4 linked regions of the Saccharomyces cerevisiae S288C genome follow. Changing the gene in region 2 together with the main gene of any one other region gives a genetic interaction. Each region holds a gene or a part of one and is shown on either strand. Other genes may lie near its edges. The genes, in order: PST1, RSO55, MIY2 and YGL140C.

What was found.
Region 1: mutations in RSO55 (region 2) and PST1 together harm fitness more than expected from each alone (negative genetic interaction), as found in Saccharomyces cerevisiae (one large-scale study listed by BioGRID).
Region 3: mutations in RSO55 (region 2) and MIY2 together harm fitness more than expected from each alone (negative genetic interaction), as found in Saccharomyces cerevisiae (one large-scale study listed by BioGRID).
Region 4: mutations in RSO55 (region 2) and YGL140C together harm fitness more than expected from each alone (negative genetic interaction), as found in Saccharomyces cerevisiae (one large-scale study listed by BioGRID).

Annotation. Positions count from the first base shown.
Region 1 is NC_001136.10:561,577-565,428, forward strand, and holds PST1 (Pst1p), read left to right. Parts: upstream 1-1,950; coding exon 1,951-3,285; downstream 3,286-3,852. Other genes in the region: SCF E2 ubiquitin-protein ligase catalytic subunit CDC34, read right to left, coding at 1-751; EMC10 (Emc10p), read right to left, coding at 3,447-3,852. UniProt on the Saccharomyces cerevisiae protein: Has a partially redundant function to ECM33 in cell wall integrity. May be involved in a repair mechanism activated in response to cell wall damage.
Region 2 is NC_001144.5:703,969-706,789, forward strand, and holds RSO55 (Rso55p), read right to left. Parts: upstream 993-2,821; coding exon 525-992; downstream 1-524. Other genes in the region: YLR278C (uncharacterized protein), read right to left, coding at 1-56; PUT7 (Put7p), read left to right, coding at 1,218-2,162; ECI1 (dodecenoyl-CoA isomerase), read right to left, coding at 2,230-2,821.
Region 3 is NC_001148.4:183,030-186,238, forward strand, and holds MIY2 (ubiquitinyl hydrolase 1), read right to left. Parts: upstream 1,651-3,209; coding exon 568-1,650; downstream 1-567. Other genes in the region: pheromone-regulated protein PRM3, read right to left, coding at 1-27; NAB3 (Nab3p), read right to left, coding at 2,288-3,209. UniProt on the Saccharomyces cerevisiae protein: Hydrolase that can specifically remove 'Lys-48'-linked conjugated ubiquitin from proteins. Has endodeubiquitinase activity.
Region 4 is NC_001139.9:240,809-246,851, forward strand, and holds YGL140C (uncharacterized protein), read right to left. Parts: upstream 4,205-6,043; coding exon 545-4,204; downstream 1-544. Other genes in the region: ubiquitin-ubiquitin ligase HUL5, read left to right, coding at 1-277; FLC3 (putative flavin adenine dinucleotide transporter), read left to right, coding at 4,908-6,043.

The sequences.
Region 1 (3,852 bases), on a different chromosome or scaffold from region 2:
TTCTTTCGTCATCGTCGTCGTTGTCGTTATAGTTGTAAACGTCATCATCTTCAAAGGGGATATGGTTGTTTCCATCGTCGTAGTCGTCGTCTTGTAAAATGACGGACCCGTTCTCATCGTCGTCCAAATCACTATCATACCAAAAATTATCCGCCATATCCTTATTCGATTCTGGTTCATCTAGTTTACTTTGAGATATGTACGCCGATTCAGAAGTGGGCATTATGAAACCTTTAGGGATATCTTGTTTCGATCTTTCCACTTCCATTTTGACTCTTTGCTTGTATTGTTCAGGGTTCTTTCTGTAATCAACAGCGGCATCGACATTTGCTGGCGAGTTGATATTGGGGTCCTCTAATAGAGATACTATAGAGATCAACACACTTTCCACGGTCTGCACGGGGGACCACGTTTCAGCATCAGGTTCGTCGGTCATAGGATCCCCACTTTGATGTAAAATAGAAATACAAAGCCTGCCATCCCTGTAAACGTTTGGATGGTAGATAGCCGGCGTAAATCGAAACTGTGGTGGAGAAAAGGGAAAGTCTTCCGGAAATCTCATTTGAGCTTTGAAAAACCCTCCATGATAAATGGAATCCTCATTTAGCACCATAACACCTATGTTCCAAGTGAAAATATTTGAATCATCCTCTAGTTCTATATGAAATGAGGGAATAGCTTTCTTAGGATCAGTAAGTTCTCTATATTGCCGTAACAGTAAGCTAGAAGCGGTGCTTTTGCGACTACTCATATTTACGTTGTATTGTTCTTTTTTCCTTGTTTGGTGTACTAAAAAATAACAGTCGCTATAAGTCCTAAACAGTAAAGGACAAAGATGTCAGCGGCAGAGAGTATAAAGGAGTACTATTCGACTGAAATAACAAACGCAAAGCTCCTATTATTTTGTAATAGTATGCTCTTTATTGTCCTTCTTAACTTTAAGTTTCTGCTCTTGTTCTTTACAGATTCAAGAGGAAACCAAAAAAAAATCAAAGAAAAAGAATCGAATTTTTCCCAAAATGAAAGTGTAAGGAAAAAAAAAGAGGAGATAGAAAATCCGAAGAACCCCAAGGGACGGACAAACACAAGACGATGCTGCACGTGGTTAGTTTTGTAAGCGCAGGTTACGATAAAGAGCATAAACAAATCATTACTAAGAGCGGTATACAAGAATAAAGTGACAAACAGTTCTCCCTATTTAACGCACTTAACGTAGGTTCCATCATTATGATGCTATTGCCACATCAAATCTCCTTTGGACTGAACCCGCATTAGTAATTGCCCGCTTTTCTTTTCTTCCGCGGGTGGGCCCCATAAATAGAAAAAAAAAGAAAGAAAGCGTTTAAATAAATAGAGTGAGCGGATTTCTATTATCTGAAAACCGGGTTATAATGCACGTGATATGCACGTGGGAGCTGGGCGGCTATTTTTTTCTTTTTCAAATGTATTTGAGTCGTTTAAAATAGCACTCCCCGTTGACCCGCCAACTCATTTTTGTTTTCTCTTTACGGAAAAGGCTTTAAATTAAGGCCCGCATTTTCGGTATCCTTGAGGGAAAAAAACCAAAGAAACCCAAAAAAGACCACAAAGCTGGGATATCTTAATTAGTAGAGAGGGCTTTTAGTTTTAATAGTGTTACGAGTCTCTAAAAATAGCGTAGGCACACTGCCCTGATTCGGACTTTGATCAGAGTTTATTACTACAAAGAGTAATGTTGAATGATTGGGCTGGGTTTTCATAGCATTAACTCTAAGTAATATCATTCAACCGCTCAAGGTTCCTTACGAGCAAACCCATATATGCTCTACAGATAAACATATAAATAGCGTGCATATTCTTCTCTATTCAACTCTTGCTCTGTATAGTTCAATAGAATCTTACAGTACATCACGCTGCAATAGATCTAATCCAAGAGAGAAGCAAAAAAAAAAAGCTCGCTATAAAAATATCATGCAATTACATTCACTTATCGCTTCAACTGCGCTCTTAATAACGTCAGCTTTGGCTGCTACTTCCTCTTCTTCCAGCATACCCTCTTCCTGTACCATAAGCTCACATGCCACGGCCACAGCTCAGAGTGACTTAGATAAATATAGCCGCTGTGATACGTTAGTCGGGAACTTAACTATTGGTGGTGGTTTGAAGACTGGTGCTTTGGCTAATGTTAAAGAAATCAACGGGTCTCTAACTATATTTAACGCTACAAATCTAACCTCATTCGCTGCTGATTCCTTGGAGTCCATCACAGATTCTTTGAACCTACAGAGTTTGACAATCTTGACTTCTGCTTCATTTGGGTCTTTACAGAGCGTTGATAGTATAAAACTGATTACTCTACCCGCCATCTCCAGTTTTACTTCAAATATCAAATCTGCTAACAACATTTATATTTCCGACACTTCGTTACAATCTGTCGATGGATTCTCAGCCTTGAAAAAAGTTAACGTGTTCAACGTCAATAACAATAAGAAATTAACCTCGATCAAATCTCCAGTTGAAACAGTCAGCGATTCTTTACAATTTTCGTTCAACGGTAACCAGACTAAAATCACCTTCGATGACTTGGTTTGGGCAAACAATATCAGTTTGACCGATGTCCACTCTGTTTCCTTCGCTAACTTGCAAAAGATTAACTCTTCATTGGGTTTCATCAACAACTCCATCTCAAGTTTGAATTTCACTAAGCTAAACACCATTGGCCAAACCTTCAGTATCGTTTCCAATGACTACTTGAAGAACTTGTCGTTCTCTAATTTGTCAACCATAGGTGGTGCTCTTGTCGTTGCTAACAACACTGGTTTACAAAAAATTGGTGGTCTCGACAACCTAACAACCATTGGCGGTACTTTGGAAGTTGTTGGTAACTTCACCTCCTTGAACCTAGACTCTTTGAAGTCTGTCAAGGGTGGCGCAGATGTCGAATCAAAGTCAAGCAATTTCTCCTGTAATGCTTTGAAAGCTTTGCAAAAGAAAGGGGGTATCAAGGGTGAATCTTTTGTCTGCAAAAATGGTGCATCATCCACATCTGTTAAACTATCGTCCACTTCCAAATCTCAATCAAGCCAAACTACTGCCAAGGTTTCCAAGTCATCTTCTAAGGCCGAGGAAAAGAAGTTCACTTCTGGCGATATCAAGGCTGCTGCTTCTGCCTCTAGTGTTTCTAGTTCTGGCGCTTCCAGCTCTAGCTCTAAGAGTTCCAAAGGCAATGCCGCTATCATGGCACCAATTGGCCAAACAACCCCTTTGGTCGGTCTTTTGACGGCAATCATCATGTCTATAATGTAATGGAATGAAGAAATATTCTTCATTTTTGATAACTAGTACCTGTCATTCACGACATGTGAACAAATAAAAACATTTATTTAAAAATTTTATGTATTCAAATATTTTCGGGAAAGAGATAAAAGTAACGACACTTAAAAATTTAAAAAATCACAATACTTTATTTACTCAGTCTTTTGATCAGCTCCGGCACCTCCTTGTTGTTGCTTCTTTGCTGAGCCCGCAACAAAATTGTAAATCAATAGGCCTAAAAGTAACATTTTCCAGTTCTTTTGAAACCAAGACACCTCCTTAACCTCTTCATCTTCTTCGAATTGTGCAGTGCTTCCATCCTTATTCTTACTAGCTTTTTTATCAGCATAAGTTTTGGTTTTCTTCTTTAATTTGGTGACTGGTGCAGTAGGTCCCGCTTCTGGATATCTGACTGTAGCAGTAATAGCATCGTTAGTCTCGTCATATGATAACGACACTTGTTTGACCTCATTATCTTCATCTACATCCACAATTAAATCGTATTTTAGTGGTGTCCTCAGCTTCATGTAGCTAAAACATGGCATATCCAGCTTACCT
Region 2 (2,821 bases):
TCTCTCTTCAACTGTTGTATTTTCTCCTGGCTAACATTCTTCCTTGGACGGCCCATTATTATTTACGTGTATTGTTGGTAGTTAGCCCGAAGATTATGAGTACGTGAAATACACTTGTCTTTATGAAAGAGTGGAAAAATGGTGGGGAGTAAGTTATACTATTGACGTGTAAAAAAAAAAAAAAAAAAATGTTAATGGAACGACCGATCTAAAGAACCATATATAATGAATGACTAAAAAAAGCAAAATAGTTAAGAATCCAAGAAAGATACTAAGAAAAGGCGAAAAGAAAAAGAAAAAGTATGTCCGCTAACAAAGATTAGCGTATAAGCACCACACGATGCGATTCAGGTCTCAACGTGCAGTGTGCAGGAGCAGGAACTATTCAATGTATTGTTGTTCCAGGGTTTTTGTTCGCAACCCACGTCTTGACCGACGGTACCCGCAGGTGAAAATTTTAGCAAAGTTACACTTTTTTTTTCATTTTTTTTTTTCTTTTCTCCTCCATCTAATTTCACCTGCGGTTACCGGCGGAATAACTCGCGCACCATTTCTCTGTCTCGGGCCTCGCGTTCCTCTTTTTCGACTCGAGCGGCCTCTTCACGCTGCTCGTACTTCGCGACGCTGCGCCGGCGCTGCGAGCGTTTCTGTTGACGGTGCCACTGTAGAAGCGCCTCCTCTCTGGACGGCATCGTGTCGTACGACGCCGCAAGTTCGCGCGCGAGCTTAAGCCGGGCAAGCTTTCGATTTTGCTCACGTGACCGCGTTTCTTGGCACTCGACAACGATCCCAGTGGGTTCATGCCGTAGTTGTACCTTAGAATTACACTTATTAATCTTTTGGCCACCGGGCCCTCTGCCGCCATGAAGGAATTTCTCAGTGCATTGTGCTTCCATCTCTGGCGTGAACTTTGGTCGCGGTGGTAGCTTGTTCTTTTTAATCAGCAGCACTGCGGCACTGCTGATTGACCTCTTACTCGCTCCCCTCATCATAGTTTACTAGTCTCGGATTCTTCTGCGCTTTTTCCAGGGTCGCATAGCTTGTAGGTTGGTAGCATAGACTTATATATAAACTCATATCCGTTCTAGGAACGTATAGCGCGCTATGGTAGTCCGGGGAAAATGCACAGTTTAGTTAAGTGTATAGTAATTTTATCGATAAAGGAAGAATGGAAGAGGTTTATGTATACATGTAAACTCTGAACATCTAATAGACTAATGATGCGGTTAATACGTACATTGCCGCTTCGATGCTTCAAAACTAGAATACGGCGGCAAGGCTCGTTGTTGTGTTTGCGGTGCTTTAGTTCGTATTCAAAACCACTTTTGCAGAAATCAATGTCATTGAAAAATATCCAGTTATCAGACCTATCCTCATCGCCATTATCCAAGAACAAGGAGAAGCAGGAGAAGCCAGAGAAGGAAAACGAAGGAAAGCACTCCATTGGCCTGTTAGACAGATTTTCAGAGGACTTTATTACTCAGGGCAATGGATTGAAACCTACTACTTCACAAAATCAATTGGATACTATAAAGTTTTATCAAATGCTTCGTGAAAGAGGCAATTTTTCCGATGAACAATGTAAAATTATCATAGCTCTATTGTTGCAACTACTAAATGATCAGTTTTATTCCTGTTACAATGATTTGTTCTTAAGGGATATGGAGCTGAATAAACAATCACATTTGTTCAGCTCGCTAGAAACAGAATTGAAATTCGCAATTCAAAACTCTAGAGACACGCAACTAAATGAGCACCACTTGCAATTATTAAAACTCAAGAGAGAACTTAACTCAATCCATGATGAACTGAATGAAATCATAATAGATCTTTTGCAAAAGGACGCTAAATTAGAATTTAACAATCAAAAATTAGAAAACACCCTTTTGTATCGACAATTAAACCTGAAATTGAACGACTGTTCTAACAAGATTCAAACCAAGATACTGGGGGATATCAGGTCACATATCGAAAATTTAAGATGGCAGACAACCAGAAGCGGTCTTTTGGTAATATTAGTCCTTGTTTGTTCGATTATGATCGGTGTAAGCGCATCTAAGAAGGAACGCCCAGGTTTACAGGAACCTGAGGAACCTGAAATTTTAGCACCAAAGGAAGACATTGATACTACCTTCCCTCAAGATCAACATGATATAGATTAATTAGCATACATATTGTCTGTACATAAGTATATTGTGTGTGCGTTTTGTTTCACTGAGAAAGCGGACGTCATAAACGATGCTTCCTTTGTTTCGAGCCCAGCTGCCTAAATCTTTTTAAGGGCTCTCCATCTACCCAATACTTGAGAGATTCATTTACTTCCACTGAGTTAGCCTTATTGAATGCATCGATGTGGTTCGATTTCAGCAATTTTTTCATCCCTAAGCAACTGGGCAGGTATAGCCCTTTCACTTTCTCCCTCAATTCTTCTAAGACCTTTGCATTGAACGCTTCAGCGTTTGAAGATGGCATGTTAAAATTCTTGCTTATAAATCCGTTCTCGCACATTATATCGTACTTGAATGGTTTGTTGAACATGAGGCATTCATACGTCGTATTTGTGCCAAACTTCAATGGCAAAGAGACCGTTGTACCACCTTCGGTAATTAGTCCTAAGTTAGCAAAGGGGTATAGCAAATAAACCTTGTCATTTATACTGTACACAATGTCACATAACGCTACCAGTGCCGCGCTCAACCCTATTGCTGGTCCATTCAAACAGCAAATTAAAACTTTGGAATGCTTGATGAAGGCATCAGTGACATAAACATTTCTAGCGACAAAATTTGACACCCACTTGCTTGTTTCCGAAGGATATTTA
Region 3 (3,209 bases), on a different chromosome or scaffold from region 2:
AGCGTTGTCTTCTTTCATTGCTGTCATTTTTTGGAGAAGTATTTATATATTTATTAGTTATTTAATGTGTTTATAAATTTATCTTGAGGCTGGTGAAATCTATTCCAAGTATTTTAAATATGTTTGCAAATGCGAGTCTACTACTTTGGTTCCATATGATGTCAGTTTTACAACAATTTATACTAGAGATAGCCAATATACTTGTTTCAGTTCTGTTTTGCCGTAATGGAATTATAGCTCCGACAAATGTAATCTTATGCACTGAAATTCAATCCATTGTGACAAGAATTATGTATTTTAGTTCTTATTTGATTTATTTCGACGCCTCGCGCGCGCTCTTAGAATCCGGCCCGACAAAGGATCTGAAACAAGTATAAATCAAATGGCCAATATAATGTCAAGCCTGTTTTATGTGGCAATGTTTAGACAGAAAATCACGCCTGTAGGGGTCCACATATCTCCAGAATAATTAGAGAGTCGGTGTCCTTATGAGATCTTCCTTAAAGCGAACAGATTGATTAATCATGTTTTACGCGAGGATATACGATAAAAACAAGTGAACAGCTCTTACATAACAACGCACTCACTTTTCTCTTTTTCAGAAGCTTTTGCATTGAGAAGGCTGCTTCTTCGCTTAAACTTGTCTTTTTTGACTGGTGCGTGTATTTCTGAGTTTTTTTTGTGAGAATGGATTTTCCTTTTTGCTTCAAATTTCGTAACACGTTCTTGTTCTTGTTCCTGTAACTGTTTGGCTAGTTCTTTATCGTTTTCAATTTGCTGAATTTCTTCAAGTAGCAAATTTCCAGTTCCAAAATCACGTTCAATGTCAGTTGACAATTGCTGTCCATTTACCTCTGCTGCACTAAAGTTACCGGCAAAAAAAGCATCGCAGGAGCCGTCCACCGAATCTAGGGATTGCCATACAATATCTTTACAATTTTTATAACCAAAGTCCGTAACCAATGTGTATAATCGATCTTCGTATTTGAACAATGTAGAAAAATGGTCATTTCTGAATAAAATGGAGAATTTGTTGTGTAGCAGCTTTTCTCTCAATCGTAGGAGTCCAAAGGCGGTCAACTGAGTCGGTGATTCGTTCAAAAACAGACCCAAATGCATGGCATCACGTAAAACTTCGTCCGAGTTTTCATCTTGGGAAATTCCACAATTTATATCAGCTGCTTGTGTTAAGATTCTCTGCGCAGATTCATAAGAATAATGAGATAGTTTCTCATCAATGTTTTCATTTATGAAACTGTTGATAACCCAGCCATGGACAACATCAACGTTAAACAATCGAAATATTGACATCTCTTTAGTATTTTCAAAAGACCCATTAAACTCAGGGTTAATATTTAAACCTTCATGTAATCTAGGTAACAAACTTAGTAACTCACTTATATCAGTACTAGGTTTATCTGTAACTTGTAAAGCGATATCTGCTAAGACTTCAATAAGTTCTTTTAAAGATATTTGACTTCCCTTATTTACCAACCTTATTAACTCATTGGAAAAACGTGTATGATCTGGTGAAAGTATTAGAATATTTGCAAGTGCTAACAAGGCACAAGGTCCGTTTTCGTTTTGCAGTAATATTCGATGGTTTTGACCATTAATTTTGACACTTTTAGTCGTGAAACTTAAATCCATGAAAAGATATTGCAATAAACAAGAATTGCAGTGATGTGAATCTACTTTGAGCTGTTCTTTAAAGCGCCTTGTAGAATGGGCATTTTGTCCAACGTTTTCAAGACCCTTTTTTCGTACTGCTCGCTGTTAATACTGCGAAACTAAAATAAACGACAGGCAGATGACTAAAACAAATCAAACAAGAACCTCTAGGGAAAGGTGTCCTAAGCGCGGAACTTCTTTTCGTTATGGGGTAAATAGAGCGGTACTTAATAATCTGTTTACAAAGCAATTTTACAAAGTTTTGATATAAGAACATTTAACTAAAGAGAAGAAAAAGAAATGAAAAGCCATTCTCTTGGCAGAGGAAACAAATGAAGAGGTGCGTGTAAGTGAAATAAATAGACCAAATAGCATTTGATAAGGAAGAAATAAAAGAAATTTATAACAGGGTAAAGAGTTTTTCGTTCTGAAAGAGATGCAGCAATAGTAAGAATTAAGTCCTAGTCCAATTTGGGAAGGGAAAACGATTAAAGCATAAACCGCTATGTCGAATTTATGCAAACCATATCAATCTACTTTCCTTAAAAATTTTTCGTCCAATTAAAAGAATTCAAGTATAATGTACAAGAAATGGAAAAGATTGAAAAAAGGGAGTCTATTTTTGTAGTTTTGCTAAACTATCTAATAGACTTTGAACATTATTGCCAGCAGGTTGCTGTTGCTGTTGCTGTTGCTGTTGTTGTTGTTGTTGTTGTTGTTGAGGTGGCGGAGGTTGGTGTGACATTGGTGGGGCAGAGGGTTTTGCAGATATATTTTGACCATTGTAATTGGTACTCATAGGAGGGGGAGAGGATGAGTTCATAGAGGAATATCCACCCAACTGTTGTTGCTGTTGTTGAGGAGCCTGGCCTTGCATTGATTGTATTAAACCAACCAATTGCTGCTGAGCATGAGGTTGTTGTTGCTGTTGTTGGGCCATTGAAAGCAAATTCGATACAACGTTAGGTGGAAGGTTTTGAATGGCAGATAATAGTTGTTGCTGGTCCATTGGAGTTTGAGAAGGTGGTTGAGGAGGCGGACCAGCCTGATAACGACCATACCCTTGAGGAATTTGTTGTTGTGGAGGTGGTGGTGGAATAGAAGTCTGGTAGCGACCGTAGCTCTGATTCATTGGAATTGGAGGTTGAGAACCATATCCTTGGTCATGGGATGGTGGTGGCATCCCATAATTACCATATGGCTGTTGCTGTTGTTGTTGTGGAGGAGGCATACTGTAACCCTGGTAATAGTTTGTTTGAGGAGGAGGTCCGACAGCTGGGCCGTTTGGAACAGGAAGAGGAGGAGCGCCATATATGTTTTGCTGATGGCTCATAGCACGGTAATCAGTAGGACGAGAATTATTTCTGTTGTTTTTGATGTTATTAAAAATGGCAACTGCGTCATCAGCGGATATGCTAATATATTCATCAAATTTCGTTTCACCTTGTGAGCCTTTGTAGAAAGTTTGAACATCTACATTGTGTGTTTTATTAACTAAAACAACGCCCCACACCCCATTATATGCGGCATCATTGATA
Region 4 (6,043 bases), on a different chromosome or scaffold from region 2:
AATTGTTGATTTTTGGGAGGTTTTGAATGAGTTTAAGTTTGAAGAGAAATTGAATTTTTTGAAATTTGTCACGTCCGTTCCGCAAGCTCCTCTGCAAGGCTTCAAGGCATTAGATCCAAAATTTGGTATCAGAAATGCAGGGACAGAGAAATACAGGCTGCCTACGGCATCTACCTGTGTTAATTTATTAAAATTGCCAGATTATAGAAACAAAACAATTTTGAGAGAGAAATTATTATATGCAATAAACTCAGGCGCCAGGTTTGACTTATCATAATTCCCAGAAGATTAGGGAGGTAATTAATTAATAGGCAGATTTCTAGTTCTTATATATTACTATAGATAAGGAAATTATACGCTTGTATGCAGAGATAATTTAAGTTTTGCTTTGTTCGCCACCATTCTAGTTATGACCTTTATCTATCATTCTATTTTTTATTGGAAAGGCTTTACAAAAAACAAACAGTAAAAATTCTTTAAGCGAAGTGAAATCGACAATGAATATGAAATTGGTAATTATCTTACATTAGGACTTTTCAATATCTTAGTCCTTCTTTTCTTTCATGTGACTTAGCACCATTTTCAAAGCTAATGGCAAATCATCATCAGAGCTTTCATCATCATCGTTCAGATAATTAGGATCCGCATTACCAAGGGTGCTGTGTCTGCTTAAGCTTGAAAGTTGGCCGGAGGTAGAAGTAATGGAAAATGCTCTATTTCTAAATGTCTTTGGTAAGCCATCCGCGTTTTGGCCTGCTTTATGAGAAGCAATCCGTAATAAATTCAACGCTGCCGGATTATCATTTTTTTCGTATGCCACTGGACATTCCGGCTCATAACTTCTTGTGGAATCAGGAGAAATTTGAGATTCATTAGAATTTGTACTTTGTAAACTTTCATTTCCTTCGGAAATGATGGAAGTACCATCAAATGGGGTCCGATTGCGCCGTGTATTCATAGGATTGCTTTTCCCGTTAATGAAATTATCAAATCCTGTTACTGCCTCTGCAGCCCAGTCCTCGTAAAGTGGACGCGATAAAAACCCGTATTTAAACTCATTTACACCGACCAGAATTTTAGTTAAATTCAACAGCTCTTCAATATACTCAATTATTTCTTCCGATGCAGCACTAGATGCGTTCCAACTTAAAAATTTTTCTTTTAAAACATATTCATGAGGATTAGCTGTTGTGTTGGCCTGTCCCCTTCTATTCATTTTCATTACCAAACCTTCGTTATCATCGTCATCTTCATCCTTGCCGTCAGCGTAATCTCCTTCATTTGGCTTTCTTGCTTTATCACTTAAATTTGAAATCTGCCCAGGATATCTTATTCGCAGAGTTTGGCGCACTTTATTAATCAGCCTTCTATGTGCAATTCTTGCGCTGGGCAAAAATTGCGGTAACGGGGTCTTATTTATAAATGCCTCTTGAAGTGCTCTCATTAGGCAAGAAATACTTCCAACCATTTGGCGTCGATATGGATATACAACACTGTTAAATTCTTCAATAACCGCACTTCCATTTTGCTTTCTCAGCAAGGAAATTGTATCTATCCTCTCTATTATTTGCTTCTGAATAAATATAACTTGAGTGAAAACATTTTCCAACTCGGTATATTCACCCTTTAATCTCGGCTCTTGTCTGGTTAGTCCTTTATAGGCCGTAGCACGGGCTAACGCCTCTTTAGCACTTTTTGATATCTTTTCGATTTTTTTGTATTTCTCTTCACTCATACTACTTGCGACTTGCTCTCCTTCCAGTCCGGTGGCGTAGAGAAGTTCCATTTCCGATATACAGCCACAGACAAAAGAAATCTCTTCATTTAATTGTTCCCGTGCCTTCAATGGAAAGAAAAAGACTTGAACTATTAATGCTACCCCTCCACCATAGCCGACAGCTAAACATCTCTTGGCGAAACTAGTCAATATATCATCTTGGGAGGGAAGTATTGCTGCAAGCATAACAATATAAATACTAATAATTTCAATAATTGCAGCCTTCACATAGGGTGTGCCTAATAAATAGTAAAACCCAGGAATGGCTCCAAAAACTGTGATGACTGTCTCCAAATATGGATTGGTTTGGTTGACAGCAGCAACATAGGAAAGATAACCCCAGGCTGCTCCAAAAATAACCCCCACAGCACGCAAAAAGAAGACCCAGAACGTACCTCCTACGGAAGGTTCCAAACAAAGTATGCACACGAAACCAATCCAGGTACCACGATAGTCTATGTACCACTGCCTTGTCTTTGGAATAAACATCGGAAATGAAGCCAGCATTAATGCAATGGCTACCTGAAATCCAAATCTAAAGTGAGGATGTGACACTTCACAAAACTTATCAATTGAAATAAGCATGGACATAAAAGAAAATCTGCCTTGCCTCCTGGAAGTTCTATTAGTTCCGAACGTAGTTGTTTTCGTTAACGTTAATGGCGACGAAGAAGTGTCAGAGGTAGAAGATGAATTTCCTTTGGGTTCACTTGTCATTGGCAGATCTAGCGATGCATCATCTTTTACAATGTTCTTATTCGATGAAACTTTTTGAGATAAAAGTTCATTCTCTTCATAATCAGGCCTTCTAATAACTGTGTCATGAGCAAAACCATTAGTATTACCATTGAACGTACCCTTTAATGTATCATTTTCAGTCACTGAGTTCCTATCGCCTTTTAACCAGATAGAAAATGTCTCGTAGTTGGTCAACACTAAAAACCAAAGTCTTTTGCCTCTCAGCCAGCCCTTCTTCTCTTGTATTTGACGTTTGACTAAAATGTCCTTGACGGACTCCATAATTACCAAAGTTGAATCTGCAGTTTGCCTAAAATTTAGTAGAAAGCTAGACAACAAAAACATTTCATCACTAGGACTCATAATATCAATATCAAAACTTAACATTTCTGACTTGAATTTTGCTTTACATTCTTCTAACGCCTGCTTCAGGTCATTGATCTTGTTCTGGATGTCAACATCATTGGGCAGATTATTGGCGTTATTACTGAATGTTGGGAAGTTACCATCTTTGAACATTGAGCAGGAATGAACCCTTGAAACTTTCACATCAAATGCATGAGCAAGTACCAACTTTGCTATGTACATGCATTCACTCATTGTCCGGTGTAGACTATAAATCACTGGATGCAACTTGTCAATAACTTTCAACAACTTCTCAGCATTTGCAAAGCTGATTTCTTTGTTCTTTGGCAGTGTCAAAGCTGCGACATCATCAGGCCTGAGCTTGTTATCATGTCTTGCCAATAAAATAAATTCTAATTGGCATGTATTAACTAATCCATTAATGAAGACTGTCAAATTTTCCAAAGTAGATATGATTGGCTTTAGTTTAGTTGGCGAAACATAAGCGTAAGTAAACTCATAAATGCACTCGTGAAGTACTACTCGACAGTTGTTAACTTTAGAAGAAATCAGTGACTTCATCTTCAATAGCTTGCCTAACGAAACAGGATCTCTACTGTACAACTGGCTACTATTGTGCGGGTCAACTGCAATGAAGAAATTTATCGAATAGTCAATGGACTTATGGAGCTCATTCATAGCATCAATAGTCGTATTACCCAAATATGTGGTACCCCACTCAGGAAACAACACAAGATTCCAGAAAATCGACATTGCAATACCCAGGTAGAAAGGCGTACTATAAGCTTTAGCAATAGTGCCTGCTGTTTCATTCAAAGGATCCATAAATGCGAAATGAACCACGACAAAAAGTGGGAAAACAATACCAAAGTAATAGTGTGATACAGATCTCATCCAACCATGAAAAAAAAGCATAATTACTTCGAAAACAGCCAAAATTGCTAATCCCGCTTCATATCTTTTATAGTGCAATACGTGCTGCTGTGCCTCTGTTAGCTCATGCCAAGAACTCCCTAAACATCGCTGCGCAAGGAACCGGCCGAAGATTGCGTAAGCTAGGCCAAATATCAATCCAGTTATGCAATAGATAGCACCATGGATAGTACCCCCGACCCTTCTTCCAGGGTGAACAATAACAGAAATCATTGGCAGCATCGCAGGAGCTGCTCCCAAATGCGCAGTTATCTTAGGTATCAAGCAAAATATGAAAGCTACCGTAGTATTAACAGTCGATTTACATATTCTCTTCGCGAGGATTCTGTCACAGGGGAAATAATACAGCCATAACTTCTGAATCTTAGTCAACTTTGATTTAAGCGACATGGACAAATAATGAAGTCAAGCAATTGATGCAAAGGATAAGGAAGATTTTCTCGCTTGAAAATATGTTCTCTTCGAACTCCAGGATAGGATAGGAATAAAGTAAAAATAGTGTATGATACGTAGTTAGGCCACAACCACAATTATAACCTCTCGATAGCAGGTGTTAATAGAGATGAAGGTAGATCCTGGATTTCTCTTTTCTTTCTTTAGACATCAAACTGGTAGTTCTTATCAGTCTCAGCCTTTTGAAGACCTATCAATTTTATGAGGAGGGTAATGGTTGCTTCCTTTTCCCTAGCAGCGGCCCATCGCTTTAGCTTCAAATAGTTGATTCCTTTAACTGTTGACTATGAAAAGGTAGTCTTCGTTGGGATTGGGGATAAAAGAATATCTGAATACTGTTGCTGTCCGTGCCATTTACTAGCTTACGGACGCTATCAAATTAACTCAAAAACGCTTCTGTTCATCCGCTTTCCAGAAGATCAACGCTCAAAAGACAACAAAACAATTCGAAGACGTCATTCGTTATAGAGTGCCAATCAACATTGGTGGGTACTAGAAAACTTCTTTGCAAAGTATAGCTAAGAAAGGTCTTTTTATTTACGAGCGGGCCATAAATAAAAAAATTTCAACAACAACAACAACAACAACAACAACAACAACAACAAATAGTGGAGACTAGAAAAGTATACCCCTCACAGGCATGAGATTTCTTCAGGTTTATAAATCATCGGCATTAATTGGACTAATAATATTGTTAGCCAGTAAAGTAAATCTTGCAGAGGCAAAAAGGAAGCTGGTAGCCACATCATTGGTCACATGTATGGAAAACTCGCAGCTGTCAGCAAATAGTTTTGACGTTGTTTTCAATCCAGACGACAGGTCATTACATTATGATCTTGATATGTCAACTCAAATTGATTCATATATTTTTGCTGATATTGATGTCTACGCATATGGTTTCAAGATCATTACTAAAAATGTCGATCTTTGTTCAATCAACTGGAAACAGTTTTGCCCGGTTCACCCAGGTAATATTCAGATCGACTCTATTGAATACATCTCCAGTGAGTACGTAAATGAAATTCCTGGTATTGCATACCAAGTCCCCGATATCGACGCATATGCCAGGGTCAAGATCACCAACAATGTGAGCGAGTACCTAGCATGTATCCAAATATACTTCTCAAACGGTAAAACAGTTTCTCAGATTGGTGTAAAATGGGCAACTGCAGTGGTAGCGGGAATTGGTCTTTTACTATCTGCCATCTTATCCACTTTTGGGAACTCTACCGCAGCCTCACATATTTCTGCCAACACAATGTCACTTTTCTTATACTTCCAATCTGTTGTCGTGGTTGCCATGCAACATGTTCATCGAGTTCCGCCTATTGCAGCCGCCTGGGCGGAAAACTTGGTTTGGTCAATGGGGTTAATTAGAATCTCATTCATGCAAAGGATTTTCCGGTGGTATGTGCAATCCACTGGTGGTACGCCTAGCTTATATCTGACTTCAACATCTATGTCTGTTTTGGCTCAAAGAAGTTGGCAATATTTGATGGAGCTCCCATTAATCAAAAGAGCTACCAATGTTTTGTATGGTAATGCAAATACATTAATTTTTAGAGGAATCAAAAGGCTAGGCTATAAAATGGGAATCGAAAATACGTCCATCGTTTGTACCGGTTTTACTTTCTTCGTCTTATGTGGATATGTGTTGGCTGGATTTATCATAGTATTCAAATGCTGTGTGGAGTTAGCCACCCGGTTAGGATGGATCCAAAAGGCAAGGTTTTGGGAATTCAGGAAACAATGGAGAATGATCTTAAAAGGTGCTCT